Linked DNA regions of Notamacropus eugenii. The protein of the gene in region 3 binds, or shares a complex with, the protein of the main gene of each other region. Links are inferred from orthologs where the notes say so. Each region holds a gene or a part of one and is shown on either strand. Other genes may lie near its edges.

The links.
Region 1: SNRPB (region 3) and LSM2 share a complex: the UniProt entries of both Homo sapiens proteins name them as parts of the U4/U6-U5 tri-snRNP complex. The link is inferred for Notamacropus eugenii from reciprocal best matches to the Homo sapiens genes SNRPB and LSM2.
Region 2: SNRPB (region 3) and USP39 share a complex: the UniProt entries of both Homo sapiens proteins name them as parts of the U4/U6-U5 tri-snRNP complex. The link is inferred for Notamacropus eugenii from reciprocal best matches to the Homo sapiens genes SNRPB and USP39.
Region 4: SNRPB (region 3) and RBM48 share a complex: the UniProt entries of both Homo sapiens proteins name them as parts of the minor spliceosome. The link is inferred for Notamacropus eugenii from reciprocal best matches to the Homo sapiens genes SNRPB and RBM48.

Annotation. Positions count from the first base shown.
Region 1 is NC_092873.1:85,494,368-85,502,370, reverse strand, and holds the start of LSM2 (U6 snRNA-associated Sm-like protein LSm2), read left to right. Parts: upstream 1-4,983; 5' UTR 4,984-5,288; coding exon 5,289-5,291; intron 5,292-6,405; coding exon 6,406-6,473; intron 6,474-8,003. UniProt on the Homo sapiens protein: Plays a role in pre-mRNA splicing as component of the U4/U6-U5 tri-snRNP complex that is involved in spliceosome assembly, and as component of the precatalytic spliceosome (spliceosome B complex).
Region 2 is NC_092872.1:726,461,842-726,469,244, forward strand, and holds the start of USP39 (ubiquitin carboxyl-terminal hydrolase 39), read right to left. Parts: upstream 3,004-7,403; 5' UTR 2,522-3,003; coding exon 2,074-2,521; intron 1-2,073. Other genes in the region: C1H2orf68 (UPF0561 protein C2orf68 homolog), read left to right, coding at 5,226-5,332, 5,947-6,110.
Region 3 is NC_092872.1:476,068,880-476,076,709, reverse strand, and holds the start of SNRPB (small nuclear ribonucleoprotein-associated proteins B and B'), read right to left. Parts: upstream 3,002-7,830; 5' UTR 2,846-3,001; coding exon 2,843-2,845; intron 1,227-2,842; coding exon 1,075-1,226; intron 1-1,074. Other genes in the region: small nuclear ribonucleoprotein-associated protein N, read right to left, coding at 7,686-7,723. UniProt on the Homo sapiens protein: Plays a role in pre-mRNA splicing as a core component of the spliceosomal U1, U2, U4 and U5 small nuclear ribonucleoproteins (snRNPs), the building blocks of the spliceosome.
Region 4 is NC_092874.1:47,883,659-47,891,201, forward strand, and holds the start of RBM48 (RNA-binding protein 48), read right to left. Parts: upstream 3,006-7,543; 5' UTR 2,966-3,005; coding exon 2,831-2,965; intron 1-2,830. Other genes in the region: peroxisomal ATPase PEX1, read left to right, coding at 3,493-3,624. UniProt on the Homo sapiens protein: As a component of the minor spliceosome, involved in the splicing of U12-type introns in pre-mRNAs.

The DNA.
Region 1 (8,003 bases), on a different chromosome or scaffold from region 3:
TTCCAATTCACTTTACTTGTATCTCAATTGTCCTTGACCATCCTAGAAGGATTTTGGTGATTACTTTTCCATTTCCAAATCTCACAATCCTGTGACACTGGAACAATACTCTTAGAATAGCAAGGCCTTTGTTGGACTAGTTAGGTGAATTTGAATTTCTGTTTATTTTTAATCTAGCCCTGGATTTTTCACTTCCATCCAGGGAGGTTGAGTAGTTTATCACTCAATAAATTCATGCTTAAAGGAAATGATGTGTGATATTTAGGGGGTCTAAGTGGGATACCTGGTTGTCATGAGAAAAATTGCTATGAATGTATGTTCTGTGCCTGATTGCTGAGGGTGGTTAAATAAGGTCACAGGACTAATGAAGCCAAAATTTAAATCCAATTTTTTTAGTTTTCATCCTTCTTGACCTCTCTGCAGTTTTTACTGCTTGTTATTGACTACCTACTTCTAAATATTTCTGTGACTTTCCTGTTTCCCTTCTCTGACCATTCCTTCTGTCTCCTTTGGTGGATTATCCTCCATTTTATGCTCTCTAATCAAAGTTTCCCAAGACTGTCCTAGGCCTCCTTTTCTCTTTTCTCTCTGCATGTACTCTTTTGGAGATTTCATTTGCTTCTACGAATTTACTTATTATTTCTAAACTGATAATTCCCAGTCTGTAAACCCAGTCCAAATCTTTTGCTAGAACTCCACTCTGCCAACACCTTGTGGAATCTATATATCCAAATATGCCCCCAGCATCTCGCATATTCAGTGTGTTCAAAAAAGAATTCATCCCTTACCACCAGCTACTCCCCAACTCAAGTGTCCTCTAAACTTTCCTGTTTCAGTTGAACTGCTGTATAATACTTCTAGCCTCTCAGGCTGGAAACCCTGCAGTCATTCTAGAGTCTTCACTCTTCCTTACTCTCCATATCTAATTAAGTTACCAAGTCATGTCCACTCTATTTCTGGAATTCACATTCTCATACTTACATACTCTCCTACAGCTACAACCTTAGTTCAAGTCCTTATCACCTCTCACCTGTGTTGTTGTAACAGCCTCTTAAGTAGTCTTCTTAATTTCGGTCCCTTCTGTCTTACAATAATTAAAAAAAAAAAAAAAAGCAAAAATCTGGTTGTGACACTCCCCTTCTCAGAAACCTTCAGTGATACTCTATTGCCTTGAGGATAAAATGCAAACTGCTTCATTTAAGATTCCCTACAAGCTGACTCCATTCTAGCTTCCCAGCCCTTATTTCACATTAGTTCCCCTCTGTTATTGCAAAATTGGATTACTAACTTGCTCTCCAAACTTGACATATCATCTTCTACCTCCAAGCATTCAAATAAAGTATACTCAATGACTAAAATATGCGCCCTTTTCAATTTTGTTTTTTGACTCTTTTCCTTCCTTAAGACTCAGTAACAGTGGGGAGTTGTACCTCTTGGTTTGCTCCATGTCCAGTGGCAATAACATTTATTCAGCACCCAATATGGACCCAACACCGTGCTAAATAATGGGAATATTAAGAAAGGCATCATAAAAACAAAAATCCAGACACCTCCCTCTGCTAGCTTATATTTTAATGGGGGAGACAACATACAAACAACTGTGTACGAGATAAATTTGTTATATTATCAGAGGAGAGGCACTAGCATTAAGGGAGCCAAAGTTCTGTAGAAGGTGGGATTTAGCTGGGACTCAAACAAAGCCAAAATGAGACTAGAGGCATACTAGCAATAGGGATTCTCTTGTTCAAGGAAGAGCAAGGAGGTCAGTGTCACTAGATTGAATAGTAAGAAGAGATAAGGAAGGTGTAAGAAGACTGGAAAAATAGGATGGAGGCCAGGTAATGAAGGACTTTGAGAATCAAAGGTGATAGGTGGAGGTGATAGGGAGCCACTGAAGTTTCTTGGATGGGAATGGGGTAGAAGCATAACAGGGTCAGGCCTGTTGTTCAGAAAGATCAATTTGACAAATGAATGGAGTAGGGAGAGACAAGTCAGGAAGACCATCCAGCAGGCTATCATAATAATCCAGGTATGAACTGAAAAGGATCTGGCCTAGAATGGTGGCAAGGTAAAAGAAGAAGGGGGCATATACAAGTGAGGTTATAAAGATAAAATTGACAGGACCTGTCAACAAATTGGATATGGAGGTTGAGAGAATGAGGAATCAAGGATGATACCTAAGTCGTGAGTCTGGCTAACTGGGAAGGTGATGGCGTCCTCACCAGTAAAACAGAATGAGGAAGAGTGGAGGACTTGAGGGCAAGGGAAGGAAGATAATGAATTTCATTTTGAACATGATTTTGAGTTTAAGATGTCTACTGGACATCTATTTTGAGATGTCCAATAGACAGTTGAAGATGAGAAACTGGAGCTCAGGATAAATGGATAAATAGATCTAGGAATCATCAGCATTGAGATGATAATTGCATTCACAGGAGCTGATGTGATCACCAATATTATATTATCCTTTGTTTTTGAAGAGTTCTAATTTCATCATGGGATGATGATTGACTTTCTCATGGATTTAGGAAGCAAAGTTGCACAACCAAAATAAATAGAGGAAAAACAGGCTTCAGCACACAATTTTGGGGGTTTCACATCAAGTACCTACTATGTGCCAGGCACTGTACTAAATCCAAGAATTAAAAATATGTTGTTCCTACTTCTAAGAGCATACATTTTAATGGGGGGGGGGAGCAAATCTATATATAAATATGACAAAACCAAAGTTAATAAATACAAATACATGCAAACAAGTTAAATACAAGAAAGTTTGGGGAGAGAGGACCTTAGCAATTGGGGTACCAGTAGTAGAAGATTATGCTTTTGTTATGGCTTTTTAACTTGGTCTTTATCAGAGGAGAAGCTGTGGGCCCACAAGTTGCTGATAGACTCAGAACTGCTCACTGGGACTAGGAAGAGTATATCATTTATTTGAAGAGAGGAATTTCTATAGAGAACCACTGGCAGTTGGTCACAAATGGGGAAACTGAAGACAGTTCGGTTCAATCTGTCTTTATTACAGTACATGCAAAAAAAAAAACCCAAAAAGCCTGAGTCCCACTAATAAAATGACTATCAGTATATTATGTGCTTGGCTAAATATGTGTGACATGGAAAGTACAACTATAAATGGGTCTTAGTGTACATATGTCTGTGACATATGAAAGCTTGAGAAGGCAAAGACTAAGAAGAGCTAAGGACATGTAGAACAGTCCTACAATACTGTCCCAGCATACTGATTATGAAGTGTGGGGGCTGGAGAAGGAAGAATTATTGGCTAGTTTAAAGGTTTAAATATAGGGTCATGTTGGTTGGGGACCAATAAAGACAGAATATTAGTACAACAACCACTTTTCTCCTATAGGACTCATAGATATCCCAGCTGTCCTGTGAAATCAATTCCATGTGTTTCTGATAAAGGCCTCATTTCTCAAATATATAGAAAACTGAGTCAAATTTATAAAAGCACAAGTCATTTCCCAGTTGCTAAATTGTCAAAGGATATGAACAGGCAGTTTTCAAAGGAATAAATTAAAGCTATCTATAGACATATAAAAAAATGCTCTAAATCACTATTAATTAGAGAAATGCAAATTAAAACAATTCTGAGGTACCACTTCACACCTATCAGATTAGTTAATATGACAGAAAAGGAAAATGATACATGTTGGACAAGATGTGTCCAACAAAATTGTTGCATTGTTGGTGAAGTTGTGAACTGATCCAACCATCCTAGAGAGCAATTCAAACTATACCCAAAGGGCAATCAAATTCTGCATACCCTTTGATCCAGTAATACGACTTATATGGCTGTATCTCAAAGAGATCTTTAAAAATGGAAAAGGAGTTCCATGTATGAAAATATTTATAGCAGCTTTTTTGTGATGGCAAAGAATTGGAAATTGAGGGGATGCTCATCAATTGGGGAATGGCTGAACAAGTTGTGGTATATGAATGTAATGGAATACTATTGTGCTATAGGAAATGATGAGCAGGATGATTTCAAAAAAATCTGGAAAGACCTATATGAACAAATGCTGAGTGAAGTGAGCAGAACCAGGAGAACATTGTAATAGCAACACTGTAAGATGATCAGCTATGATTGATTTAGCTCTTTTCAGCAATAACAATAATCCAAGATATTTCCAAAAGACTTGTGATGGAAAATGCTAACCACATCCAGAGAAGGGCCTATGGAGTCACAGATCAAAGCATACTATTTTCACTTCGTTTTTTATTTTTTCTTTCCCATGGTTTTCCCCTTTTGTTGATTCTTCTTTTACAACATGACTAATATGGAAATACGCTTAACATGATCGTACATGTATAACCTATATCAGATTGCTTGCTTTCTTGGGGAAAGGGGAGAGACAGGAAGGAGGGGAAAACACTTGGAACTCAAAATCTTATAAAATGTTGAAAACTACATATAGTTGAAAAAAGTACTATTAAGAAAGAAAAAATATTTGTTATATGAAATGACCCTCTAAGAAAAAGAGAAGAAGGTATACTGGGGGAAATTATTGTGATTTTTTTTTTTAAAAAAAAGGACATCGTTTAAAAAAATAAATTTGACGTTTATTTTGAGTTGTCCAGTTGACGGTGGAGATGAGAAACTGGAGGTCAGGAAAGAGGTTAGGGCTGGATAAGTAGGTCTAAGAATCATCAGCATAAAGATGATAATTGAATCCACAGGAACTGATGTGATCAATAAGGTAAATAGTATGGAGGGACAAGAAGCTCCAAGACAGAACCTTGGCGATTATTTTTTTAAACACGAATTATTACAGGAAGGTCACCCAGTTGTGGTGGAAAGATCCCAGAATGTATCTTAGTAAATGATTTTCTTCCCATATCACTCGCTACATAGTAATTTTGTCTCGCGTCGTTCTATCTCCACTGCACAGGACAATCCTTGAATATGTCATTAACCAAGTTGACCTCAGCCACCCCAACCCCCGAGCCCAAAACAACGCCTGCGCAGTGAGACTCTGGAACTGGGTAGCAGGCTATAAGCTCCGGCCAGCCTCCAAGTCTCAACCCTAAGGTTCCGAGCTTTTCCCCTTCTCAGGCTGCAGCTGGGGGAGCTGAGGCTGGTGTCTCTTCCTAACCCGCTCGCGCCTTCCGCCCGCCGCCGCACGTGCGCACCCACCCGCCCCCCGCGCCCGCGCGCGCCGGCCTTGGGCTCGGACTCGGGTGGCAAAGATCGGCGGCCCACACTCCCCCGCAACCCCAGCTAAGCCGCCCCACCTCCTCTCCCGGACCCGAGCCGCGGTGCGAGGACCATGGTAGGGGCTGTGACGTCATAGGCGGGGGTACCGCTTCCCGAAGAGACCGTTGACTCGGTTCGGAGGCGCGGGGACGGGAGGGTAGGGGGGAGGGACTCCCCCTTCCCCGGAAACTGGGAAGGGTGCGGGGTCGGGCGGTTCGGAGAGCCCAGGATTCGAGCCCCAGCCCTCGCCCCCTCCCCCCCTCGGGCGAACCTCGGGCGCTTCGCCTCCCCCCTCTCCGGGCCTCAGTTTATGCCTCGTTTAGAATTAAAGGGTTAACCCTTTCTGCTCTTTCAAAGCTCCCTTGGGACCTGAATTGTGGATGTTGAAGTGATAGCGAACGTGTACAGATAGTGCTTTCCGTCGGTTAACCAATTTGGTGGGTGCCAGTGAGGAAAATGAGGCACAGACTTGATGGTCACACAGCTGGCAGAATTTGAACTCGGTTCTTCCTGACTCCGAGTCTGCCCTTCTGTCCACATGGGCCACCTAACTCATCCCCGGCGCTTTAGGTACCCCTCTCCTCAACAAGTAACAGTACAGGATGTCCCAAAGTTTTAGTCCGAAATAGCAATGAGACTTTGGGGACATTGTGTAATGGACAATTGAGAAATCTGCAGCCCATTATTGCCATTAAATGGTGGTGGTCCTTGAGTCTTAAGGAGAGGGTAATACTCCTGATTGGGGAGGAGGTGGAGAGAGGACAAAGGATGATGTACTGGAAAGGAACTGTTAGAACCACAGGATATAGAATTCTGCAGCTGGAACGGACCTTAGAGATTTTTATCTTACAGGTGTGGTCATTGGGGTTGATTTGGCCAAGTTAACAGAGCTAGTAACTGGCTTGTATTAAGTGCTTACGATGTGCCAGGTACTGTGCTAATCACAGATGAAAATGTAAGCAAAAAGCTTGCTTTTTAATCATGGAACTACACGTGAAAGGAGGACTGAAGGAGAGAGGATGGAGGAAAGCAAACAGCATCGTGCTCCAGAAAATGTGGGATGACCATCTGGGCTCTTCCCCCAAATGGCCGTTTTGAAAAGAATTCATCAATAAAAGGAATAGAAAATGGGTGATCAGTGCACCTCTGCCCCATTTCATGATTTTTTCCCCCCTTTTCCTTTCTCTCAGCTCTTCTACTCCTTCTTCAAGTCACTTGTGGGAAAGGATGTGGTTGTGGAACTCAAGAATGACTTGAGGTAATGTGCACAGGAGCAACCGAGGAGTCTTCCTGCAGAGCTGAGGAAGGCAACTTTGCTGAATTTCCACAGAGGTCTTTTGAAAAAAGGCTTCTTAATTAATGTTGTGTAACTTACACTCTGCAATAGGCACTGGGTGCAGCATACAAGAGTACATGACATATTTCTGCTTTTAAGCTTTACGGTCAGAATGGGAATATAAGTCTTGCAAAGGGGAGAAATTCAAGAATACAGTACCAAACAATATGTTACCAGATACTAGATGATGTGGTATATTAAATATGTTTTAAAGGAATTCAGGGAAGAGAAAGGTCAATATATTAGCTGGACCTTGAGAGACGGATAGAACTTGGATAGGCATGGAGATCATAGAATTGAGATAGAAATGGACAAGAGATTTCCAGGTGAAACACTGAGCAGAGGGCTAATGAGCACAGTGTTTTCAGGAGACAGCCAGTCAGGTCTGACTGGTGAAGAGTTTAAACTTGATTAGGCACTCATTGCTTCTTGCCTGAACTATTTCAGTAGCATTCTAATTAATCTCTCTGTCTCAGGTCTCTTATCACTCCAATCCATCTTCCCACACAACTACCAAAGTGATTTGCTTAAAGTATAGGTCTGACCATGTCATACCCCTCCTTCCCCAAACTCCAAAGGCTTCCTGTTAACTCCAGAATCCTGTATAAAGTCCTTTGTTTGACATTTAAAATTCTTTACCACCTAGCCTCTTCCTACACATTGTGAATTTTACAAGTTAACCATTCTAGTCTGCTTCTTGACTTTTCCCAAGTCACTCCCCACTCCAATCCATCCTTCACACAGCTACCAAAAATTATATTCCTGAAGTGCAGGTCTAATCATATAATTCTGTGGTACCCCCTGCCACTTCCCCCTAATTAACTCCAGTGGCTTTCTGTTATCTGCAGGATCATGTATAAAATTCTTTCTTTAGCATTTAAAGCTCTTTGTAACCTGGTCCCTTCCTACCTCTCTAGTCTTCCTAAATATTATCTCTTTCCAACAACTCTACGGTCTAGCCATTCTGACCTACTGGATCTTCTTCACTCCAGAATCTCCTCTCTGGGTGCCTTTGTACTGGCAGTCCAGCATTCCCTGAATGTTCTCATGTCCAGTTCTGGCTTCCTTCAGGAGCTCAAGCACATCCCATCTTTGGAGGAGGCCTTTCCTGATCCTTCCCAACTGCCAGAGCCTTCCCCTCTAAGAGTACCTTCCATATACTTTGTATCTTCCATATACTTGTGTATTTCCACATTGTCTCCCTTACTAGAATGTAAGCTTCTTAAGAATAAATAGGGGCTGTTTTTATCTCTAGCACTTAGCATGCTGCCTAGCACATTGTAAGCATTTAATATACATGTTTGCTGATGGATTGGTCATATGGATGAGAATTCATTGACTTGACATTTTTGCTATTGAGGACAAATTTTAGTAGCATGGAATCCAGAGTTGTAGAGTAAGGCTTATATAAAGGACAAAGTGAGTCCTAGGCAAAACTGTAAAGAGGGTGAA
Region 2 (7,403 bases), about 250 Mb from region 3:
CTAATGGCATTTGAACTGGGCCAGGGCACAGGCCTCTGACCTCTACCATCCATCCTCCACAGAACTGCTAAACCATCTTCCTCCTGCACAAGTCACCCACAGGGCACAGTAAGAACTGGAAGGACCCTTGGAAGCAATTAGGTCCAATCCCTTCATCTTACAGATAAGGAAAGTGAAGCCTCAAAGTGCATCAGTGACTTGTGCTGGGTCACATAGCTCGTATGTCTGCACCAGGATCTGAATTCAGATCTCTCTGACTCTAAATCCAGTGCCCCAGCTACAATATGCTGCCTCCATCAAAATTTTTTACTGGTTCCTCAGGGCCTATTGGATAAAATCCAATTCTTAGCTTCTAATATAAGGCTGTCCAGAATCTTACTCCAACTTACTTTAACCTGATCAATTTTATTTCATTCTACTTCCTTTACGATCCATCCGAACTAGAACATATTACCTTCTCCTGTTGAAAAAATGTTCTTACGAGCCCAGCTCTGGTGGCCTCTGTTTATTACAGACTTCCCTATCCTCCCAACTAGAAGGTCTTCTCTCCACAAATTTCTTATAGCATTCTATCTAAATGCTTCCTTGGCCCTCGTCACACCCTTTCTTATATAGATGTACTCTTCATCCATCCCCACCCTTAAGAGTATCTAATCTAGGAAGCGAGGTGGCACGAGGGACCTGTCAAGCCTGGGAGCCAAGTTCAAATCCTAATTCAGACCCTAACAGTGACCCTGGGCAGGTCATTTAACCTCTCAGCCTCAGTTTCCTCATCTGTAAAATGAAATAATAGCACCTGATTGTTTCGTCATGGGACTGTTGTGTCAAACAAATTAACGTTTGTACACTACTTTCTGCAAACCTTTAAATGATTTACACACACTTTTTTTCCTTATATGTTAAATCTCCTCAAAAGAATATACGCTACCTGAAAGCAAGGACTTTTATTTCTGTCATTGACCCCCAGAACACAATACTGTGCCTGGCACATAGTAAGTGTTTAATAAATGTTTGTTGCTTGAGCTGAATTAAAGTGACGATAATAATACTAAGAGTGAAAAGTAAAAAAAGATCACATTAGATAATGCTATAAAAGTGGAGAGAACTCTGGTTCTGGAATCAGAAGATCTGGAGTCAAGTCCTATCTATGAGGTTTACTACCTGTATATCATATTCCAAGTCACTCAACCTCCCTGATCCTCAGTTTCCCCTTCTATAAATGAGAGTAAACTGGACAGGCCTCTGAGATCCCCGCTTGACCTATGATCTATGATGGTTTTTAAGGACAAAAGAAAAGGTAATTTTTTTTAACACGCCTTTAGTTACAATGCAATGTATTCAACGCTGAGCACACAAAAATAGAAGAGTCCCTTATCCTCAGAGGGAGCTTACATTTTGCTGCAGGACACAACTTTTTTTGGCGTCGAAATTCCCAACATCCATCTAGCTCTAATATACGTTCTCTAAGAGAGCCTACATTAAGAGACTAGCCCACAGTCCCCCAGGGCCAGGATCAGAGGGACCTGAGCTTCCCGACTTCAAGTCTAGCGTTCCTCCTCTCCCATGTACACAAACAAGTAAGGAAAAAGTAAAACTGTCGAAAATCGATCACTAGCAAAGACAGGAAGGCACGGGGGCCAGAACCCTGGAGGGAATATGTGGCTGAAGGCAGAGAACACAGGGAAGGCTTAGGGTGGGCTGCACCCAAGCCCCGGCGCTGAGACGGGCAGGATGTCACCCCAACTTTGGTCAAGGTTCCGTTCAAGCGGACACTATCCGAGGCCCCTTTGGACTGCGCCACCTGACCAGGACCTTCCTCTCCTCCCTGACATCCCTCTGGATTTAAATTGCACGTGGTTAGCGGGTAATGACGTAGCCGGGCAGGGCAGTTTCCCCACCCCGAGAACCGGGCAGGGAGCAAGCACTTGCTGGCCCTCAGTTTCCCCATCTGGACAAAAAAGGGGAAAGGATGGCCGTCCTCAGAGGCTCTTTCCAGCTCCGGGCTGGCAAGATGGGGATGGAGATGGGGATGGAGATGGGGATGGGGGACGCCCCGGTCCCGGCCCCGCGCACCTCGCACCTCCCGCTCCGGCTCCGAGTCCTCGTCGGCCTCGCGCTCCCGCTTTACGCGCGAACCCACTAGCGGCGGCGCGGGCACGAGCGCGGGCACGCTCCCGCCCGAGGAGTCTCGCGCCGCGGGCTCCGAGTTCCGTTCCCGTTTCACGCGCACCGGGCTCCCCCGAGACCCCATGCCGTCCGAATCCCGCTCCCTCTCCCGTTTCGACCGACTGGAGCTGCTCCGGGACTCCGCATCCCGCTTGCCCCGGGCGGAGCTCCGCGTCTCCCTTTTCGAACGGCTAGACATCCCCTCCGGCCACCGGCCCCCGCCGCCTCTCCGCGCAGGCGCAGAGGTCTCACTCGCGGTGCCGCGCCTGCGCAGCACAGCTGGCCAATCAGCCGCAGCGCTTCTGGCCAATCCGCTGCAACGTCTGTTCGAGGGTTCTAGCGCTGTGGCCCGCATCTACAAACCTGCTTCCCAGGCTTCCGTGTGTGACTCTTGGATGCTCTCATTGGTTCCCGCCCCACCGCTCCGGACGCTGAATGGGCCAATCATCTTCATCATCCACAGTTTCTTATTTAAAGGGCCAGATAGCCCTTAAGTGGCCCAAGATGCTGGGGTAACATCATAGGACTGGAGAAATTTTTACTTAGGTTGATGAGGCATAATGGAATGATGCTGTCCTGTCCCTCAAAGGCTGCGATGGAGGCAGCGAAAACATCCCATTGCCCAATTTTTTAAAAATAATTTTGATTTATGTTTTCTCTTTCTAACATCACTATTTTAACAGCCCCTCCCCTCCCTGAGAGCCATCCCGTATGACAAATAGTACTTTAAGTATGGGAAAAAAAAGTCAACAGACTGATTGACAAATAAAGGTATTCATTTGGAAAATGAGAAAATTAAGCATATGACATGAAAACAGAAACCAAAAAAAAAAAAAAAAAAGACTGATTGTCAAGAAGTTAGTTCCCTACACCAGTGAAATCATAGTTCCCACCAAAAGAATGAGTGTCTACAACAATCCAGTTCTTTGTGATTGACTTGGGCCTTGACCTTGGAGTCTTTGGCCCTTAACTAAAATCCTGGTTCTGACATTTACTGTTTGTGTGACCAGGAGCAAGTCACTCACATTTCTCTGGGCCTCAGTTTATCCATGTGGAAAATTGGACTAGAGGTCCAAGGTCTTTTCCATCTCTAGAGCTATGATCAATATATATGGGTAGGAGTCCAGCCTACCCCACCAAAATTAGTCACAGGACAGTCTGAAGGCTTCATCGTATCAAAAGTAAAAGATATAGGAATTTTGGTTGTTCAGTCATCTTTCAGTCATGTCTAACTCTTTGTGACCCCATTTGGAGTTTTCTTAGCAAAGACACTGGAATAGTCTGTCATTTCCTTCTCCAGCTCATTTAACAAATGAGGAAACTGAGGTAAACAGGATAAAGTGATTTACCAAAGGTTACACAGCTAGTAAGCGTTTGAGGCCAGATTTGAACTCAGGAAGATGAGTCTTCCTGACTTCAGGCTGGGTACTCTATCCACTGTCCCCATATGAATAGTCCTTAATCAATTAAAAAAGATCATAGGGTCTTTGGACCATTGTATAAAAGGAGATGAGGACTCATAGGAAATAACTTTTGTTGGGTTGAAAAAATCACTCCCAACTCTTAGACAGTAAGTTATTTCAAAGCTGGGTAGTCCCCAAAGGAATTATTTGATTCAATTCAAAGAACATTTCTTAAATGCCTACTAAGTGCCAGGCACTGTGCTAAGTAAGCACTAGGGATATAAAAAGAGACAAAAGACAGCCCCTCCCCTCAAGCTTTTTACTGAAGCAGACAACATAAAAATATATACAAAGCAAGCTATACACATGATAAATGGGAAATAATTAACAGAGGGAAAACTCTGGAATCAAGAAGAGTCAAGAAAAGCTTCCTGTAGAATGTAAGATTTTAGTGGAGACTTAAAGGAAGTCAGGAAGGTTAGAGCAGAGAAAGGAAAAGTTTTTCATACATAAGGGAGAGTCAGAGCAAATGGTGGAAACTGAGATGGAGGATTGTTCATAGAACAGCCTGAAAGGCATCATCACTGTATGGAAGAGTAGATGTTGGGGAGGTGAATGCCAAATAGACCATTTTTTCTCCTGGAGGCAAATAGGAAGCTGCTGGAGTTTAGTGAGAGGGGATAGGGGTGACATGCATGATCTGGCATATAGTAGGCACTGGATGATGTTTGTTGATTAATTGATTGACTGGGCCTTAATTTCCTCACCTATAAAATGAGTGGGTAAGGTCCTTGAAAGCAGGCCTGTTTTCTTTGTGTCTGTCTCTTAAGTTGTGCCTTGTTAAGGTAAATTGAATTGAGGGAGTTAGAATGGATGTTGAGATTCTGTCTCTCTTCCATCTCCAAGCCCTAGACTGGCAAAGAGGAGTCTGTGCTGAGGACAGAAGTGGGGTTGGGGCAAAGGTCAAGTTAAGGAGCTCGGGATACCCTGGTGATGGGGGAAGAGGGCAATATCTGACTCAAGAAACTTACAGTTCTATTGGGCCTTGTCAGCAATACTGCAGCTGCCTGACCCCTAAGATCCTGTACTTACATACATAGTTGTTTGCCCGTTGTCTCTCCCTCAAGAGCTCCTTGAGGGCAGGGGACGTTTATTGCCTTTCTTATCTCAAACTTTTAATGGAGTGTCTGGCAAACCCAGAGCACTTGAAGAATTCTCGTTGATGGACTCCTTGGATTTGCTAGCGATCAGAAACTGTCTGTCTTCCATCTGCAGTTCCCTCGCTTCGCACAGTGGAAAGTGCTGAATAACATTCCTTCATTCCCTCAATCCTTTATACTAGGTGGGGAGAATAGGGACGCACACAGAGGCGGGTAAATACAAAGTATTTACAAAGTGTACACAAAGTAAACAGAAGAGACTGGCGAAGGAAGAGAGCACTAGCCCCCGCCTCGCACGGGGGCGGGGCCAGCCCTGGGACCGCGGGGGAGGTGGGGAGAAAAGCGGCCAATGGGGACGGAGAGGGGCGGGGCCAGTCGGGGAGCTGGCGGGCGGGCAGGGGGCCGGGGGAGGGGAAGGCCTCCGCGAGTGACGGTTGCTCTGGCGGCGGGGGCGGCGTTGGCTTTTTCCCCCCCCCGGAGCTCCCGGAGCGCCCCAATGGAAGCGGAGCCGGGTCCGGGCCGGCGCTGCTGCTGCAAACCGGGGGGGCGACTGGACATGAGCCACGGCTTTGTGCACCACATCCGGCGGAACCAGATCGCCCGGTGCGGCCCGGCCAGGGCCCGGACCCTGCCTCGGGCTCTCCCCGCGCCCCCACCCGCCCTTCGCTGCCCCCGGTTCCCAGCCCCAGATCCTCCCTCCCCCCCAGCCCCTGTACCCAGGGCCCCTGCCTTCTGAACTAGTCTGAGCCTTTTGGCCCGTTCCCCGCCCCCTCCACCGGGGTCCCCGCCCTCTGTCCTCCTGACCCAGTTCCTCCTGCCCCCTACCCACCTTCCAGCTACCTCCGGGTCCCTAACCCTGTTCCCCCCACTTAAGCCCCCTGGTCCCTCCCCCACCCCCTCCCTCTGCCCCAAACCTTTAAAAGCCTAGGTCCCTGCCTTCTGTCCTACTCTAGACCCCTCTCCCCCGGTCCCTTCCAGGTTTCCAGCCCCTGGGTTCCTGTCCCTTGTCCCTCGCCTTCTCCCCTGGAACCCCGCACCCCTTCCTAGTCTCTGCCCTCAGGCCCCTTCCCCATCCCCTACTCCTAGATCCAGCCCTCTAGTCTCTGCCTCTCCTTCTCCTAACCCCTAACCCCCCACCCCCTCCCCAGAGGCCTCCTTCATTGGGGTCGCTCTGATCCCTGACCTCTCCCCATAATCCCTCTCCGTCCCACCCGCAGAGATAATTACGACAAGAAGATGAAGCAGGCAGCCAAGGAGAAGGTTCGGAGGCGACTCACCCCGGGCCCTACGAGGCCCCGAAAGCCAGACCAGCAGGTGTACTTACCCAGACGGCGAGGCGAGGCAAGGCTGAGCCGGCCTGGGTCCTCCACTGGGAGCCGGGGTGAGAGAGTTAGCGAGAGGGGTCTACGCCCCAGGAGCCTCTAACTAGCTGTGTGTGGCTGGGCAGGTCCTGGCATCTTTGGGGGCCTCGAAGCCGATAGAACATTGGGCTACAGTCAGGAAGACCTGGGCTCCAGGGCTTGCTGGTGTCACTTAATAACTGGGTGACCCTACAAAAAAGAGGGAGGGGGAATTGCTGTAGGTAGTGGGAGCCCTGAGCACCACATGTGGAAGACGCCATGACGTTCAGCCCCCTCCTTTTCCAGATGGTGCAAAAGGTTCAGTTATTCACAGGGTTTCACAACTGGGGAGTGAGAAGCTGGGAAATTGGACCTGGCATCAGGAAGACCTGGCTTCCAATTCTGTCTGTCATTTACTAGTTCCATGACCTTGATTGAATAGGTTACTGAATGTCTTCGGGTCTCAGTTTCTTCATCTGTAAAATGATGGGATGAGACCATCGGATTTCTGAGGCAGGAAGACTGGAATTTGAATCCTGCCTTCCACACTTACCAGGTGTGTGACCCTGAGCAAGTCACTTAGCCTTAGTTTGCTCATCTGTAAAATGGGATAAAAACAGCTCTTACCTCCCAGAGTTGTTGTGAGGATAAAATGAGATAATGGTGCACTTCAAAAGGGCTATTAATGTTTATTATTATTACCATAATTTAATAGGATCCTAGATCTAGAAATGGAAAAGACCTCAGATCTACTAGAAAGCCTGCTTATTTTACATATAAATAAGAAAGCAGGCCAAAGAAGGGTGACTTGTCCAAGGCCACACAACTCATGAGCATGATTTGAACCCAAGACCTCTGACCTCAAAACCGGTGCATTCTTCCCTACCAGGCAGCTTCCTTATTGACCGGTGAAGAAACTATTTTCTCAACCATAAGCCAGGACCTGGTTTTAAATCAAAGCCTGGCATTTGCTCTAACAATTATTGACTATATCAATACCTCTGGGCCTTAGTTTCTTCATCTGTCAAAAGAGGATATCATAAGTATGGAACAGGGCTTTTGCAAGGTGAGAGAATATGTATGGATTGCATTGCAAACCTTACAGTGCTACATAAATTCTGCCACTGTTGTTACACAGGAGGATACTGAGGCCCAGAGAGGAAAAGGGAGGGTCTGGTGCAACGCCACTCATTGGATTAATGACAGTCACCCATATTCCCCCATCCCTGTACTTGTCCCTCCCAGGCTTCTTGGGGACAGCAGTCACCAGCTGGTCCAATCAAGTGGTGACCTGCCCTACCTTGGGGCTGTCATGGGGGGCAAGGGGAGATGCT
Region 3 (7,830 bases):
CTCATCCTAGATTCTCTCCACTCAAGCCAGACACACACAAAAAAACACAGACCTAAAAGAAACAAAAGGTCATTAATAGGTTGAATGAAGGAAGGAAAATGGGAGCTCTACTCTTGGAAGCAAGAGACCTGGGTTCTAGTCATTCCCACCCAACCACTACCATTTAACAAACTAATGGCCATAGGTAAGGCATTTATCCTCTCTGGGTTGCCTGATCTGTATAATGGAAATAACTTAGCTGTCTTAGGGTAGGCAGTACCTAAACCAGATCATCTTGAAGTCCTTCTAGCTTTAAGACACAAGATTCTTACTGAAAAACTGGCATAGTGAATAACTTGAAAACACAAGGGGCAGCATTTAGCCATTGTCTCTCACTACTTCTTTTTTTGCAGATGACAAATCAGAAGGGAGCCTGGTATAATGGGAAAAACATTGGATGCAGGAGTCACAGAATTGGGGTTTGAATATCTGCTCTGCTACTACTCTAAGATTTTGGGCGAGTCACTTAGCACTGTTGGATTGCAGTTTTCTCTTCTATAAAATAAGGGGTCGCAGTAAATGATGCTGAAAGTCTCTTCCAACTCTTATTCTAAATCACTAGCCCCAAACACTAACCCAAGTGGTGAAGCCAGGCACTTACCCTGAAGAGAGTCAGGGGCTCCTGAAAGCTGCTTCAGAGCAGGCTGTATTGGGTGGGAATGCCGTTTAGGCTGCAGCCTTACAGAGAGGCAATGAGGACAGAAAAGCAAGTTCTCCCCCTTAAAAACCTGTGGGGAGAACACGAGAGCCCTTTACCCCAAGGGGGCAAACAAAGAAAAACAGAAACACAGCTCTCAAGCCAAGGGGTTCCAAGCACAACTGAACTCCTGGGGAAGGCAGCATTCAGAGGGCACTGGGGAAACTCAGCTGGATTTTCTTCAAAAAAAGGACACAACCACACAGACACAAGAAACACATCTAGGCCACAGCCAGACAGGGGACAGCTAAACTATACCACCTGCTACTTGGGTCCCTCCCCACAATATTCTGCTGGGTGAACTGGGTTGCTCCCCTCCCACCAGGGCTCCTCCTCACTTGATTTTCCTGAACTCATCACAGTCACACAGGATCAGGTTCATGTGCTTGTCAAAGGCCTTGAAGGTGCCGATGAAAATGCGACCATCCTGCAGGATGCACCTCATCCTGTAGTCGATGTGCTGCAGCATCTTGCTGCTCTTGCCCACCGTCTGTGGGAAGCAAGAAAAAAGTGGCTAAGATACTAAAATCGGAATGCCTCCTTGACTCTACTTCTCTCTCAGTTACACTCCCAGAGGAAGACTAGCATAAAGGGAAGCAAACAAGGTTGGAGTCAGGGGACCTAGGTTCTAGACCTGACCTTGGATAAATCACTTCCCCACTCCAAACCTCAGATTCCTGCTCAGTAAAGTGGTTTACATGAAATTAGCTATAATGTTCTTTATAGTTCTTGCATTCTTTGTTCTAAGATTCCCCCAGACAACATTCTGATTCCTGAAACAGCCTTCTATCACCTCCATTTTTTAACAATGGATTTCTTCATTCTCCTTCCCTCCAGACCAAAAATAGAGGACTGGATGCTTGTGTTGTTTTCATACATAATCCAGTTATCTCATCTGACCTTCCCAAGAGTATAAAGACGTAACCAGTGCAAAGATATCTACCTCCATTTTACAGAAAAGGAAACTGAGGCTCAGTTGAATAGGTTAAGAGACTTGTCCAAGATAACACAGTAAGTTGGTGATGGAACTAGAACTGAAACCCAAATCATCTGACTGACAAACCCAATATCTCGGCTACCTGAGGGATACGTTAGCAACATTCAGCACACTAATTGGTATATAGTGCCCACTCAACAAATATTATTTTAAATGCATGAGAGAGGATAAGATGGATATAACAGAATGTAATTACACTGGGAAAGTAGGATTCAAATAGTGTTACGGGAAAAGAACTGATTTAGAGTCAGAAGATCTGGGCTCCTATTCTGAATCAGGTCTCACTCGCTGTATTTGACCTTAAGGTTGAGTTAGTGAGGCCTAGAAGCTAAGGGACAGTAGGTCCAAAATTGGGGGCCAGGATTTTTCTCGGGTGTAAAACGACAGAGATGCAGTAAATGGTAAAAAGGTTTAATTCTGACAAACCCCACCCCTTACACTCCCCATTCTTAACCCTCAGGCCCCCTTGGCTCTAATTCCTCTTCCAACCCATCCCCCTCCAGACCCCATCTAGTCCTCCAGCCCACCTCCCAGTGAGTCCTAAAAACCTCCCCACCTTTAACCTTTCCCAGGTTCCAGGACCTCCCACCTTAATCCCTCCGTCTCCCAGCACTCCCCCAGCCATCTTTCCCAAGGTCCCCATCCTGGCCCTGCCACCACTCCGCTCTCAGTGCCAACTATGAATGGCACTCAGAACCGTGACACACAATCACACACCCCGCCCCGAACCCGGCCTTCCTTCTGAACCCCCTCCTCAGAACCCCAGCCTCGAATGCTCTCCCCTCCCCCCTCCCAATCCGGGCCTCGTGCTCTCTCCCCTCCCCCTCCTCAGAACCCCAGCTTCCCAAGCCCTCCTCTCCCCCTCCCAATCCGGGCCTCGCGTTCTCTACCCTCCCCCTCCTCAGAACCCCAGCTTCGCAAGCCCTCCCCTCCCCCCTCCCAATCCGGGCCTCGCGTTCTCTCCCCTCCCCCCCCTCAGAATCCCGGCCTCCCGCGCCCTCCTCCCCAAACCTGGGCCCCAGCCCCCTGACTCGGCGGTCGACTGGCTGCGCCCCCCACTCGGGGCCATTCCCAGGACCACCCCAGATGGCTGCCCGGCCCTCCCTCACCATGGTGGCGGCTGAGATGGCCCCGGTTCGCGTCGGATTCGCCTCCGCCGGGCCTACAAACCGACGAAAACTCCAGTTCCCGCGCCCGCGGCCGGAAATGAGCCCTTGGCAAAAACGGTCCGGCTAGGGGAACTTCCGGCTGGGTGAACTTCCGGCTCCGCCTCCCGGCTTACGAGGCCCGTGTTCTTCATGTTCCGTCCCTATAGTTTTCCCCGGCACACTAGTTAGAACAGCTCGAATGAATGAAGCACTCCGCTGTTTATGAAACGCACTCAACAAGCGCCGATGTTATTGTGCGCCCTTTACGACTTATAAACTGAAGCTCAGATAGGTGAGGACTGGCCCAGAATCATGTAACTAGTGACCATCAGTTCTAATCATCATCACGAACCGGCACTTACGTAGCGCTTTAGTTTGCGACATGCCTGTCATTGTACACACAGGCAGCTCCGGGAGGCTGGGGAAACTGAGTCCAGCGAAGCTGAGCGACTGGCCCAGGGTCACGCAGCGGGAAAACGAACCAGAGCCGGAGTCGCTCTGACGCCAGGTCCGGCTGCCCAGGGTGGTCACCCCCCCACGTGTGCAGCTCAGACACCCGGAGGGCCTTGGCAGCTTCCTGCGGCCAGCTTCCACAACCGCCACGCTGTGGGAGAGGGGCCGGACGTGCCCGCCGTCTGCCACGAACGGAGGACAAAACCAGCCCGCCCGAAGCCGGGGCCATGCTCAGAGCAAGTCCGAGCACCGCCCAAGACCCCAGTGCGCCTCAGGATTGACAGCCTGCCCCCCACTCTACCCAGCCCGGCCCCCCAGGAAGCCACCCTTGTGGAGCTGCCAGTGGTCTGGCCTGTTCAAATGCCAAAAGGACGTTGACCTAAAGGACTATTTTTTCTATTTTTAAAAAAATTTTAAAGTTTTGACTTTTTTTTTTTTTTTTTACAAATTCTATCCCTCCTCCTTTCTCCTCCCCATTCCCTGAAACAGTAAGCACTCAGATTAAGGTCATATATATGCAATTATGTAAAACATATCCATATTAATCATTTTGTACAAGAAGACTCAAATAAAAGGAAAAAAATGAAAGTGAAAAAATAGCCTGCTCAAGTCTGTATTCAATCACTATCAGTTCCTTCTCTGGAGGTGGACACTGTTTCACTCTTCGGAATTGTCTTGGATCCCTGTATTGCTGAGAATGGCTGAATCGTTCACAATTCTTCATGGCACAGCGTTGCTGTTATCGGGTATCACCGGCTCCTGATTCTTTACTTCACTTTGCTGTGCATCACTTCATTTAGGTTTCTCTAAAATTATCCTGCTTGTCCTTTCTTATAGCACAATAATATTCCACTACAATCACATACCACAGCTTGTTAAGCCATTCCCCAATTGATGGGCATCCATCCCTTTGATTTCCAGGTCTTAGCCACCACTAAGAGAGCTGCTATAAATATTTTTGTACAAATAGGTCTTTTTCTTAAGAGACTATTTTATGGAGAACTCACATAAAGCAAGCTCTTACATGGAGGTCAGGAGGAACAAGGACACTCTCAAGGTCCCTCTGAAAAACTTTGGTTTTTGTTTGTTTGTCCTTTGTTGCCAAAGATGACCATGCCATCAGAGAAATGATGACATGACTTGCACTTGACTTTGTTTTGAATGAGGGAGGGCTGTGCAGGTCACCAGCCTCACTTCTCCTCCAGAGCCATCTGAATCCAGTGACAGATATTCATCAGGATGACTGGAGATGACCCAGGATGCACTGGGGGACCTTGGGCCTTTGATCTAAACTTTGGTATCAATTGTGAGAAAGAAGAGATACAGGTACAGGACTGCCTAGCATGAAGTGCCTGCATCAAAGAAGGCACTGTCTCTCTATAAGAAAAGCAGAATCTCAGTAGCATAAAGAAAACATGAGATGCATAAATCCAGAGACATCTCCATTCCAAATGTTCAAATGCACCATTTGTGCCAGATCTGTGGTTGAGCCTTCCGAGCTCAAATTGGTCTGATCAGTCACTGTCAGACACACTGTACCTTGACCTCAACACAGTGAGGTCATTTTGGTCCTCCTCAAAAACAAAGGACAATTACCTACAACCTTCCCTATATGTCATCTCCTCCTTTAGAATATGAGCTCCTAGAAAGCAGATAATGAATGCCTCATTGGTCTCCCCAACACTTTTTCATTCATCCTACTTCATTAACTTGCTAATTCAATTAACAATTATTTGTTAAGCAGCTATCCTTTGCATAGTTTGTCAGGTTATGGATGGAGATAAAAAGATAATTAAGACAAGGCCTTGTCCTAGAGTTTACGATCTAATGGTAATAAATACAACTTAAAATAAAAGACTGTTAGCTAAAAGGGACTTTAGGGATCAGCAAGCCCAATTCTCATTTTATATCAACTCTAACCTAACAGCTAGTTCTAGAGTTAGGTCAGTAACTATTGCTAAGTACTGGTCTAGAAATGAGACTTGGCATCTACTCTCAGCACTACAACTAACCCTCTATGTGATCTGGGACCTTCAGTTTCCTCATCTATAATTAGATTACATTAGATGACTTCAAAGATCTCTTCCAGAGCCTTACAGGGCTATGCAGATAATAGGGTCTTAAACAGTTGTTGAAAATGATGAGTCAAGAAATGGAAGAGAAAACTTGGGCTCCTATATACTAGTTCTGGAACTTATTAGGAAGCAAGCCTGGTCAAAGCACTTTACCTTTTAAGTTTTTTCCAGCTCTGACTTTGTATGTTCTATAGTCTAAAAGTCTCTTCAAATTCAAATATCCTGATTCTACCATTTAGTTTTCCTCCCTAACAGATGAGAACAAGCCACTGGTGAGAGGTAAAAATGGTAAATGAGAGTTAAAAGAGGAATGGATATGAAACATCACCTAGGAAACACTGCAAAGGTGAGCGGAAGGGCTTCAAGGGTATTGGGTATCTGAGAAGAAAAGTAAAGAGGAGATTGTCAAAGATAAACTTCCCCTATTGTAATGTTATCAAGAGCCACCAGAGTGATAGGAATTATTTGAGTCTGCCCTTTAAAAATAAAGGTACTTCAACTACAGCACAAAGAGCTTTCTTTTCTTCACAAAAGCTATTCCTGAGACTTTCTTTAACATCCCATTCAATCAGGTCTCCTCAGTGGTCTCCATTCACACTGTTTGAATTCCTCCTTTTCTCTCCTCACTATCCCTTTGTTCGTTCATATGGGCAATTTAGCACAAGGACAGTTATATAATGGCTTTGATGAAAAATATGTATGTCCCACTTTGGATGAAGACAGAGTAGTTGAGTTAGAAAACAAAATGAAAGAAGGTGGAGTTATTGATTACCATGGCTGTGACTTCTTCCCTCAATCATGGTTTCATAATAGTTTTTGTGCTTCAAACAGATAATTCTGTATTTTATACAAGACTTGAAAAGAGGGGATACAGTGTAAAGAAACTACAGGACAAGTTGCGGCATATAAATGTAATGGAATACTATTGTGTTGTAAGAAATGCTGAGCAGGCAGACTTCAGAAACACCTGGACTCATATGAACGGATGACGAGGGGGGCAGAACCAGAATATAATGCACAGTTCCAGCCACATTGTGCAGTGACTAACTTCGACAGACAGCTCTTCTCAGCAAGGTTCCAAGACAACCCCAAAAGGCTCAGGACAGAGAATGCCATCCACATCCAGAGAAAGAACTATAGAGTCTGAACGCAGATCAAAGCATGCTGTTTGCTCTCTTTTTTGTTTTGCTTCTTCTTTCTCATGGTTCATTCTGCTGGTTAGAATTCTTCTTTAAAACATGACTAATGTGAAAACATATTTAACATGCATGTATATGAGAGCCTATATCACACTGCATGCTGTCTTAGGAAGGGAGGAGGCAAGGATAGGGGAGAAAATTTAAAACTCAAAAGCTTGTGGAACTGAATGTTGTAAACTGAAAATTTTAAAAAAAGAAATAACAGGACAATATTTAGTAAAATTTTCCAAATTCTTTATGAAGAAGCCATGGCCTCCCACAACCATGAAGTAGTACACTGGCTGCCTAGCAATGTACCAGGAGAACTAGAGAATAATTTAGATCAGATAATGAAATGGATTGAGCAGATAATAACTGAACCTTGAGGGCAAAGCATGAACTTTCGAGGTTTTTCACATGATGATTGAAGATTTTCTTGATGATTACTCCTTCCCCATGCAGAAGAAATTAAAGACAACATACACCGAATTCCATTATCCAGGATTGTGTTATAGAAGTAGCAGGTGGACAATATATGAAGTTGAGCTATGACTAATTTTTTTTCTCCATGAGAAAACTAAAAACTCCCAAATACAATGAATAAGATAATGACTTTTTAAGTTAAGGAATATTCAGCATTCTCATTTATTTTGGTTAACTGCTAAAGAATAAGCAAATTTGAGAAAATAGGAGAAAAAGAAAATGAAGGCTTAGAAGAACTTCTGACTTAAAAGAGTCAAGGATAAAGCTATAAAAAACTAATAGGGAAAAGCAGGGAACTGAATCCATGGTTATCACAATGGAGGGAAGCATCTGAAGTCATCCAGATGAATAAAAAAGGAACAAAGGTAACTCAGATGTAAGAACTACTTCCTCTAGGACAGCCCACGTAACAGCCAGGGTGGTCTTAAGGGGTTTAAATTCTGCACTCCCTCCCAATGCTTCCAACAGGCACAGAAAATACCCAACAATAACTGCAGGTTTTTTTGCCCAAGAGTTTATTATGAATCAATTTAAAAGGAGCACACTTTATACAAAAAGCCCACAAAACTATATACAGCCTCATCTCAGAGGCAGCATCACAGCAGTTGAGGAATCCTAAGGTCTTGGTGGGCGCATTCCTGGGGGAGGGGGACCTATAAGGGAAATAAAGGAGTCCCATGAGATAGACACAACAATTTACATTTTTAAAATCCTTTAAAGTTTACAAAGTATTTTCATCACAACAGCTCTAAGAGGTATA
Region 4 (7,543 bases), on a different chromosome or scaffold from region 3:
AAGCTGTAGGTTTTTCTTTAAAGTAAAATTTTGTTGATATATTTTGCTTGTATAACACCTACAATTTCCCATGTATCCCTTCTTTTTCTTCCTTGGGAGCAATCCCAAATAATACAGAATAAAAAGAGTTTGGCAAAATTAACCACCATTTGAAAAAGTAGGGCACTATACGTACTGTTCCACACTGACCTCTACAAAGAATGGTATGTTCTCTCTTCTTTGGGGTTAAGTTTGGTCATTATAATTTTGCAATATTTAGTTTAAGGGATGTACTTTCCATTAATTAGTGTTGCAGTCCATTGATATGCCTTCCTGGTCCTGCTTGCTTCACTCTACCTCCGTTCACATCTTCCCATTCCTCTCTGTAGTCATTCACGTTTTGCAGCATAGTAACAGTCCATTTGTGCAGCACAATTTGTCTGCCTATTCCCCAATCGATGACAGCTCTACTTTGTTTCTAGTAATCTGAGATTTTCAACATACTAATGGACTATGGATCTTTTGGCATAGTAGAAGGGGAAGTTTCTCCCCAGAGCCCTGCTTATCTTTATACACCTGTTCTTCACACATCTCCTTGAGCAGACTGACCTGGACTGTTTAGAAAGCAGGGAGAGGATCTGAGCATCTGAAAAGTGTTGCTGTGAAGAAAAAGACTAATAATGCTCTCTTCTCATCTGTGCTTCCTAACTTCAAGTCGCAGCTAAAATTTCACCTCCTACAGGAAGCCTTTCTCCATCCTTAATTCTAGTCCTCCCTCTGAGATATCTCCAATTTATCCTGTAGGTTTGTTTGTACACATTTGTTTGTATGTTGTCACTGCCATTAGATTGTGAAGTCCCTGAAAACATCCCCTAACTTAGCAAAGTACCTGGCACACAGCAGTAGGCTTTGTGTAAATGTTTAGTGACTGTGGCTGGACAACTGTGTGAAAGTATTTAAAGAGCTGTCATGTAAAAGGATTATATTTGTTCTGTTTGGCCTAAGGGAGAAAAAGCAGAATCAATGGGTGGGAGCTGCAAAAGTAGGTTTGATGCTTCCTAACAAGTAGAGCGGCTTGCCCAGGTGGATGGGGGTCTTCAGGACAAAAGTTAAATGACCCCAGGTGGGTGGGTGTGTTATAGTGGGGATGCCTTCCTGGAGAGGGTGGATTGGATGGTGTGTGTGTGTGTGTGTGTGTGGTGTGTGTGTGTGGTATGTGTGTGTGTACGGTGTGTGTGTGGTGTGTGTGTATTTGGTGTGTGTGGTGTGTGTATGGTGTGTGTGTGGTGTGTGTGTGTGATGTGTGTGTATGGTGTGTGTGTATGGTGTGTGTGTGTGTGGTGTGTGTGTATGGTGTGTGTGTGTATGGTGTGTGCGTGTGTGTATGGTGTGTGCGTGTGTGTATGGTGTGTGTGTGTGTATGGTGTGTGTGTGTGTATGGTGTGTGTGTGTGTATGGTGTGTGTGTGTGTGTGTGTATGGTGTGTGTGTGTATGGTGTGTGTGTGTATGGTGTGTGTGTGTGTGTATGGTGTGTGTGTGTACGGGGTGTGTGTGTGTGTGTATGGTGTGTGTGTGTATGGTGTGTGTGTGTATGGTGTGTGTGTGTGTATGGTGTGTGTGGTGTGTGTGTATTTGGTGTGTGTGGTGTGTGTGTATTTGGTGTGTGTGGTGTGTGTATGGTGTGTGTGTGTGGTGTGTGTGTGTGATGTGTGTGTATGGTGTGTGTGTATGGTGTGTGTGTGTGTGGTGTGTGTGTATGGTGTGTGTATGGTGTGTGTGTGTATGGTGTGTGTGTGTGTGTGTGTGTGTATGGTGTGTGTGTGTGTATGGTGTGTGTGTACGGTGTGTGTGTGTGTGTGTATGGTGTGTGTGTGTATGGTGTGTGTGTGTGTGTGTGTGTGTGGTGTGTGTGTGTACGGGGTGTGTGTGTGTGTATATGGTGTGTGTGTGTGTACGGGGTGTGTGTGTGTGTGTGTATGGTGTGTGTGTGTATGGTGTGTGTGTGTGTATGGTGTGTGTGTGTATGGTGTGTGTGTGTGTATGGTGTGTGTGTGGTGTGTGTGTATTTGGTGTGTGTGGTGTGTGTATGGTGTGTGTGTGTGGTGTGTGTGTGTGATGTGTGTGTATGGTGTGTGTGTATGGTGTGTGTGTGTGTGGTGTGTGTGTATGGTGTGTGTATGGTGTGTGTGTGTATGGTGTGTGTGTGTATGGTGTGTGTGTGTGTGTGTATGGTGTGTGTGTGTATGGTGTGTGTGTGTGTGTGGTGTGTGTGTACGGTGTGTGTGTGTGTGTGTGTACGGTGTGTGTGTGTGGTGTGCGTGTGTGTACGGTGTGTGTGTGTGTGTGTGTGTGTGTACGGTGTGTGTGTGTGTGTGTGTGTGGTGTGTGTGTGTACGGTGTGTGTGTGTGTGTACGGTGTGTGTGTGTGTACGGTGTGTGTGTGTGTACGGTGTGTGTGTGTACGGTGTGTGTGTGTGTACGGTGTGTGTGTGTGTGTGTGTGTGGTGTGTGTGTGTACGGTGTGTGTGTGTGTGTACGGTGTGTGTGTGTGTACGGTGTGTGTGTGTGTACGGTGTGTGTGTGTGTACGGTGTGTGTGTGTGTACGGTGTGTGTGTGTGGTGTGTGTGTGGTGTGTGTGTGTGTGTACGGTGTGTGTGTGAGGGAGCGGACAAGGACGCAGGGAGGGAAGGAGCGGGATGGGGGCAGAGCCGGTTCTGAATCCAGACTCAGACACTTGTAGCCGCGGGACTCGGTCTCCTCATCCACAAAACGGGAATGACAGCGCTGTCGCCTGCCCTCCCCTCTCCAGGCTGCGCTGATGACAGAACCGTCCAGTCAACTGACCCTACCAACTTAGGGAGGTTCGGCGGGGCTTGATCTCTCTGAGCTCGAATCCCGGCCGGCGACTGCGGCCCGACCGGACTCGTCCCTCTTCCACGGCCCGGGCACCGTAGCCGAACACAGCAGCTCCGCGGTCCGCCCATCTAGCCACTACCTAAGCCTCACCGGGCGCTCCTGGCCAGAGGAAGCCGGGGTGCCCGGGGGTTTCTCTCTCACCTTAACGGCGCGGGGCCTCCGCCCCTCCCGATACTTGGCCCGCGAGTCACAAACAGCCCGCTGCGCATGGTGAGGGTAATAGCCACCCAGCTCCCCTCCGCCGTCCGCCATCCTTTCCCACTAGGCCTTCCTTCCAAGTTAACCGCTTCCGCCTGACCCCTATCCCTCTCATCCAATCAGAGAGTCAGGCAGGCAGCGACGTCCTAGGATTGGCTCGAGTACGGATGGCGCTCGTTGACGCTTCCGGAGGGGATGGAGAAAGCGAGAAGGCGCCGTCTTGTGGCGGCGCGGTAACGAGGCTCGGTAGTCCCGCCCCTCGCGACGCTAGGGCGAGTAGGCTGCCGGGGGTGGTGGTTGTCGATCGATCCTCTCGGCGCTCGACGCCTCCTGCCTGGCGCGGATCGGTGCTCTGCCCCGTCAGTCTCTGGCTCTCTGGCTCACTCGCTCGCTCGCGATGTGGGGCGGTGGCCGTCTCGAGGGCGCCGGGGCTGGAGGGGTCGTGGCCGTCACCATCGCCTTCTCTCACGCCCGGGACTGCTTCCTCCACTTGCCGCGGGCGCTCGTGGCCCAGCTGCACCTCCAGCAGGTAACGCGCTCAGGAGGCCTCCAAGTTGCGCCCCCTCCCCCCCGCCGCGAGGCCTGCCGGGAAGGGCCCCCGAGGCCGGGCTGCTCGGCCTGAGCCACTGGAGCCTCCTGGAGCCGCGAAATTAGGTCTAGAAATGACCTGGGTTCAAATGCTGCCTGTGGCGGTGATCGCGGCCGTGGGCCTGCCCTTTCGGACCGCTCTTCGTGGTCTCCTGCCCACCGCCCGGGTGACGGGCCCGGCCCGCAGCCGCGGTGCTCTCAGCCGCGGGATGAGGCGCAAGGTCACTGCCAGACCCCTCGAGGGCCCTCCCCGGGCGGTGCAGCCGCCCCTTTCCTCGGAGTCCTCGCCCTTGGGGACTCAGGGTTACCCGGGGTGCCGTGCCCATGTCCCCGGGTCCAGAGGCAGCCAAGGCACGGGGTCGCGCTATTGCGGCGAACCTGCTGGAGTGTAACTTGAGGCTTTGTCTCGGCTGGCCCCCTTTCCCTCCTTCGGTCTAGACCCGCCGAGTCACTCCCCGGTGGTGTTATTATTATCTCTGTTTACATGCGAGGAAACCGAAGCCGACAGATGAAATCACTCGTCCGGGGTCGGGGCTCAGCCCAGGCTGCGGCACCACCTGGTTAGTGCTGACCCAGGCAGGGCTTCCCGAACCTTGGAAACATAGGTTTGGGTAACTGTTTCAGTGTAAATGGCTTCCTTTGTGATCTTGTGTGAATTATGTATTTAAAAGTCCTCTGTTTAATATGTTATCTTTATCATTTCTGACTCCATTGGGGGTTTTCTTGGCAACTGTACTGAAGTGGTTTGCTATTTCCTTCTTTTCAGCTCATTTAGCAAATGAGGAAACGGAGGCAAATAGTGTTAAGTGACTTCCCCGGGGTCAGCTAGTTAAGTATCTGAGGCCACATTTGAATCCCTGAAGATGAGTCTTTCCACCTAGCTGCCCTTACATATTTTTTAAATCCTATATTTAATATCAATTTATATTCATATATTCGTAATGAATTTGCATTCATATTGTAATACATAAATTCACATTTGTGTATTATAATGTATAAATTTATAATCTATTTAGTACTGATTGTGCTCCCAAATAATTTCATGAAGTAGGAAGCCTTCACTTTAATCATCCTCTTTAAGTTAATTACTGCTATTCCTGACTTTATGTTAATCATTTGACAAAACATGTATCAATGTTGATTGAATAAAAACCCTACCAGGCACATCTCAAAGCTTCCATTTGAAAAATGATAATACTGATGTAAGTTTTGATGTAAGGAAAACCTCTCAAAATTAGTTACCCCATTGGCTTGTGTAGGGAAATAGTGGATTCTCTTTCATGATAATTCTTCGATAAACCACTTATTGAGGATATTGTAGAGAGGATTTCTGTCTAGGTCTGGGTTGGACTAAGTGTATTCTGTAGCTTCTTCTAACTTTCAAATTCTGTGATTTTTGTCATTTAGACACCTGAAAACTGTGCTGTGAAGAAGCAAATTCGCTGTGCTCCTTAGGACAGGTGGGAGGATTGACTTAGGAATCTGTTAAGGTTCCTTCTGGCTAGGAATTAGGGTGGAAGTGGTGAATTAGATTAAGATAAAAAGGAAAAAACCCACAAATCTAGAGCTATCCTATGTGAGGCCTTAGCATTCAGCAAATTCATTCAGTTGAGTCTGCACATTTGAATGCTGCTTATTTATAATGAACCACTGTGAAAGATATAAAAATGAAGATAACAGTTTTTGCCCTCAAATGGCCTGTAGCAGGGATTCTGAAACTTTTTAGTCTCGGAACCTCTTTATAGTCTTAAAAAATACTGAGGACCCTTCCCTAAGAGCTTTTATTCATGTGGGTTATATCTATGTTTGGCATATCAGAAACTAAAACATCAGTATTATTATGAAAATAGTTTTAACCTCATAGGTTAATAAACTTAGTTTTTTTTAATTGGTTTTGGAGACTCTTATGTCCTAGACCCACACTTTGAGAACCACTGGTCTGTTGTATGAGCCAGGACTAATAGATTGTAAGCTTTTTGGAAGTAGTCTTTGAGTCATATTCAGGATATTCCAAAAATCTTAGTTCAGTTTTAAGCTTCAGTAACTTAAAGTTTTTAATCTTTCATAGCTTAAATCTGCATTAAGATTCTAAATCTTCACACAAGAAGGAAAAATATCAGGAAAGTTCTGCAGCTAGTGTGTTTGATTTATTCTGTACTTATTTTTTACATATGATTTTTTTTCAAAAATATACATTGAATAGCATTGAGAAAGAACTTTTACAATTTGTTGAATGCCATACTTTAGAACAGAAAATAAATCTGGAAAAGGAAAAAAAAAAAAAAGATTCTAAATCTTCATTAAGACTTTTGGGTCAGTGCTCTCTGTGTCTTCGTTTCCTTACCACATTGCCTTCAAATTCTGTTTTCATAGATTTCCAATCAGAATAGTTAGGAACCGTTACTAGAGGCAGTTTGAGGGCAAGGACTTCAATATTCATCTTGGTGTCTTTCACAGTGCCAAAAAGTGTTGAATTTCATGAGTCTACTGATGTAGAAGAAAAAACCCCCTACTCCCCAAAGAAAAACAACATTCTGTGATTATAGGAAGTATACTGGAGAAGATTGCCACTGTCACCAAATTTCAAGTACAGAGCTCCCCTTGCATTTTACCAAAGGGAGTGTGCAACATAATCATGCTGTTAGGATCACAACTCAGCAGGAATAGGACCAGCAGCCTCCCTTTGGGTTCTCACAGATGCTAGTAGTCTGTTGTAGTAGTAGTAGAGGTTGCTGGTGCTGGTGACATTTTTCCTGTCTGTAAGCTTCTAGTAGTGGCGTCCGTCCGTGATGCAGGTAAAGGCAGCATGGAACAATGTGAAGAGCACTTGTTTATTTAGCTGGAGCACCTGGGTTCAGTCTTGCCTCGGCCTCTTAATGCCTGTGTGACTTTAATAGCTTAGACTTAGGTGATGCAATGGATAGAGTGCTAGGCTCAGTCAGGAAGGCCTCAGTTCAGCTGTGGTCTTAGACACATTATATTTAGGGATCTCCAGAAGTCACAGTCCACATAGTCAGTAAGCATATGTTAAAAACTATGTGCCAGGCACTGCGCTGATGCTGGATATACAAAAACCCATGCCTTCAGGGAGCTCACATTCTAAGGGAGACAATATGGAGCTGGAAGTGAAGAGGAGATGGCATTTTGGGGATGGGGTACAATGTTGAAAGCATATAATTAGAAGATGAAATAGTCAGGCTAGTGTCACTGGATCATAGATTCTGTAGAGGCCAGTAAAGTGTAAGAAGATTGGAAGACTAGGAAAGAACTTGATTGTGAAGGATTTTAAAGCCAAACAGCAGAGTTTATATTTGATCATGAAAGTAGGGGGTAAGCTTCTGGAATTTCTTGAGTGTGCGTATGCGTGGAGGGTGCTGGAGAGTGGGGAGGTCTGTGGTAATATGATCTATTCTGCACGTTATGTAAATCACTTCAGCAAATGAGTGTAGGATGAACTAGAGTGGGGAGAGACTGGAGCCAGGGAGACCAGCCAGAAGGCAATTGCTACAGCACAGGTGGGAGGTAATGAAGATCTACATCAGAGTGGTGCCTGTAAGAGTGGAGAAAAGGGGACATAAAAGAAAAGCATTGCATAAGAAGAAATGATAAGACTTGGTAATAGTTTGGAGAAGTTCCTTTCTATAATGGACTTTTACTTTTTCTTGAAGTTTGGGTTCATCATTCCACTTAAAGATAATGACCATGGACCTGGTCATTTGAGCCTCTGCAGAGAAACCCCTAATAAGGAAAGGGGGAAAATGAGAGTAAGCCAACTTTGAAAAGCACAACTTTCGAAGTTTGTTTCACATTCTGAAATTCTCTCCTTCAATGGATTTCCTTGCATCAATGCTATTATAGCT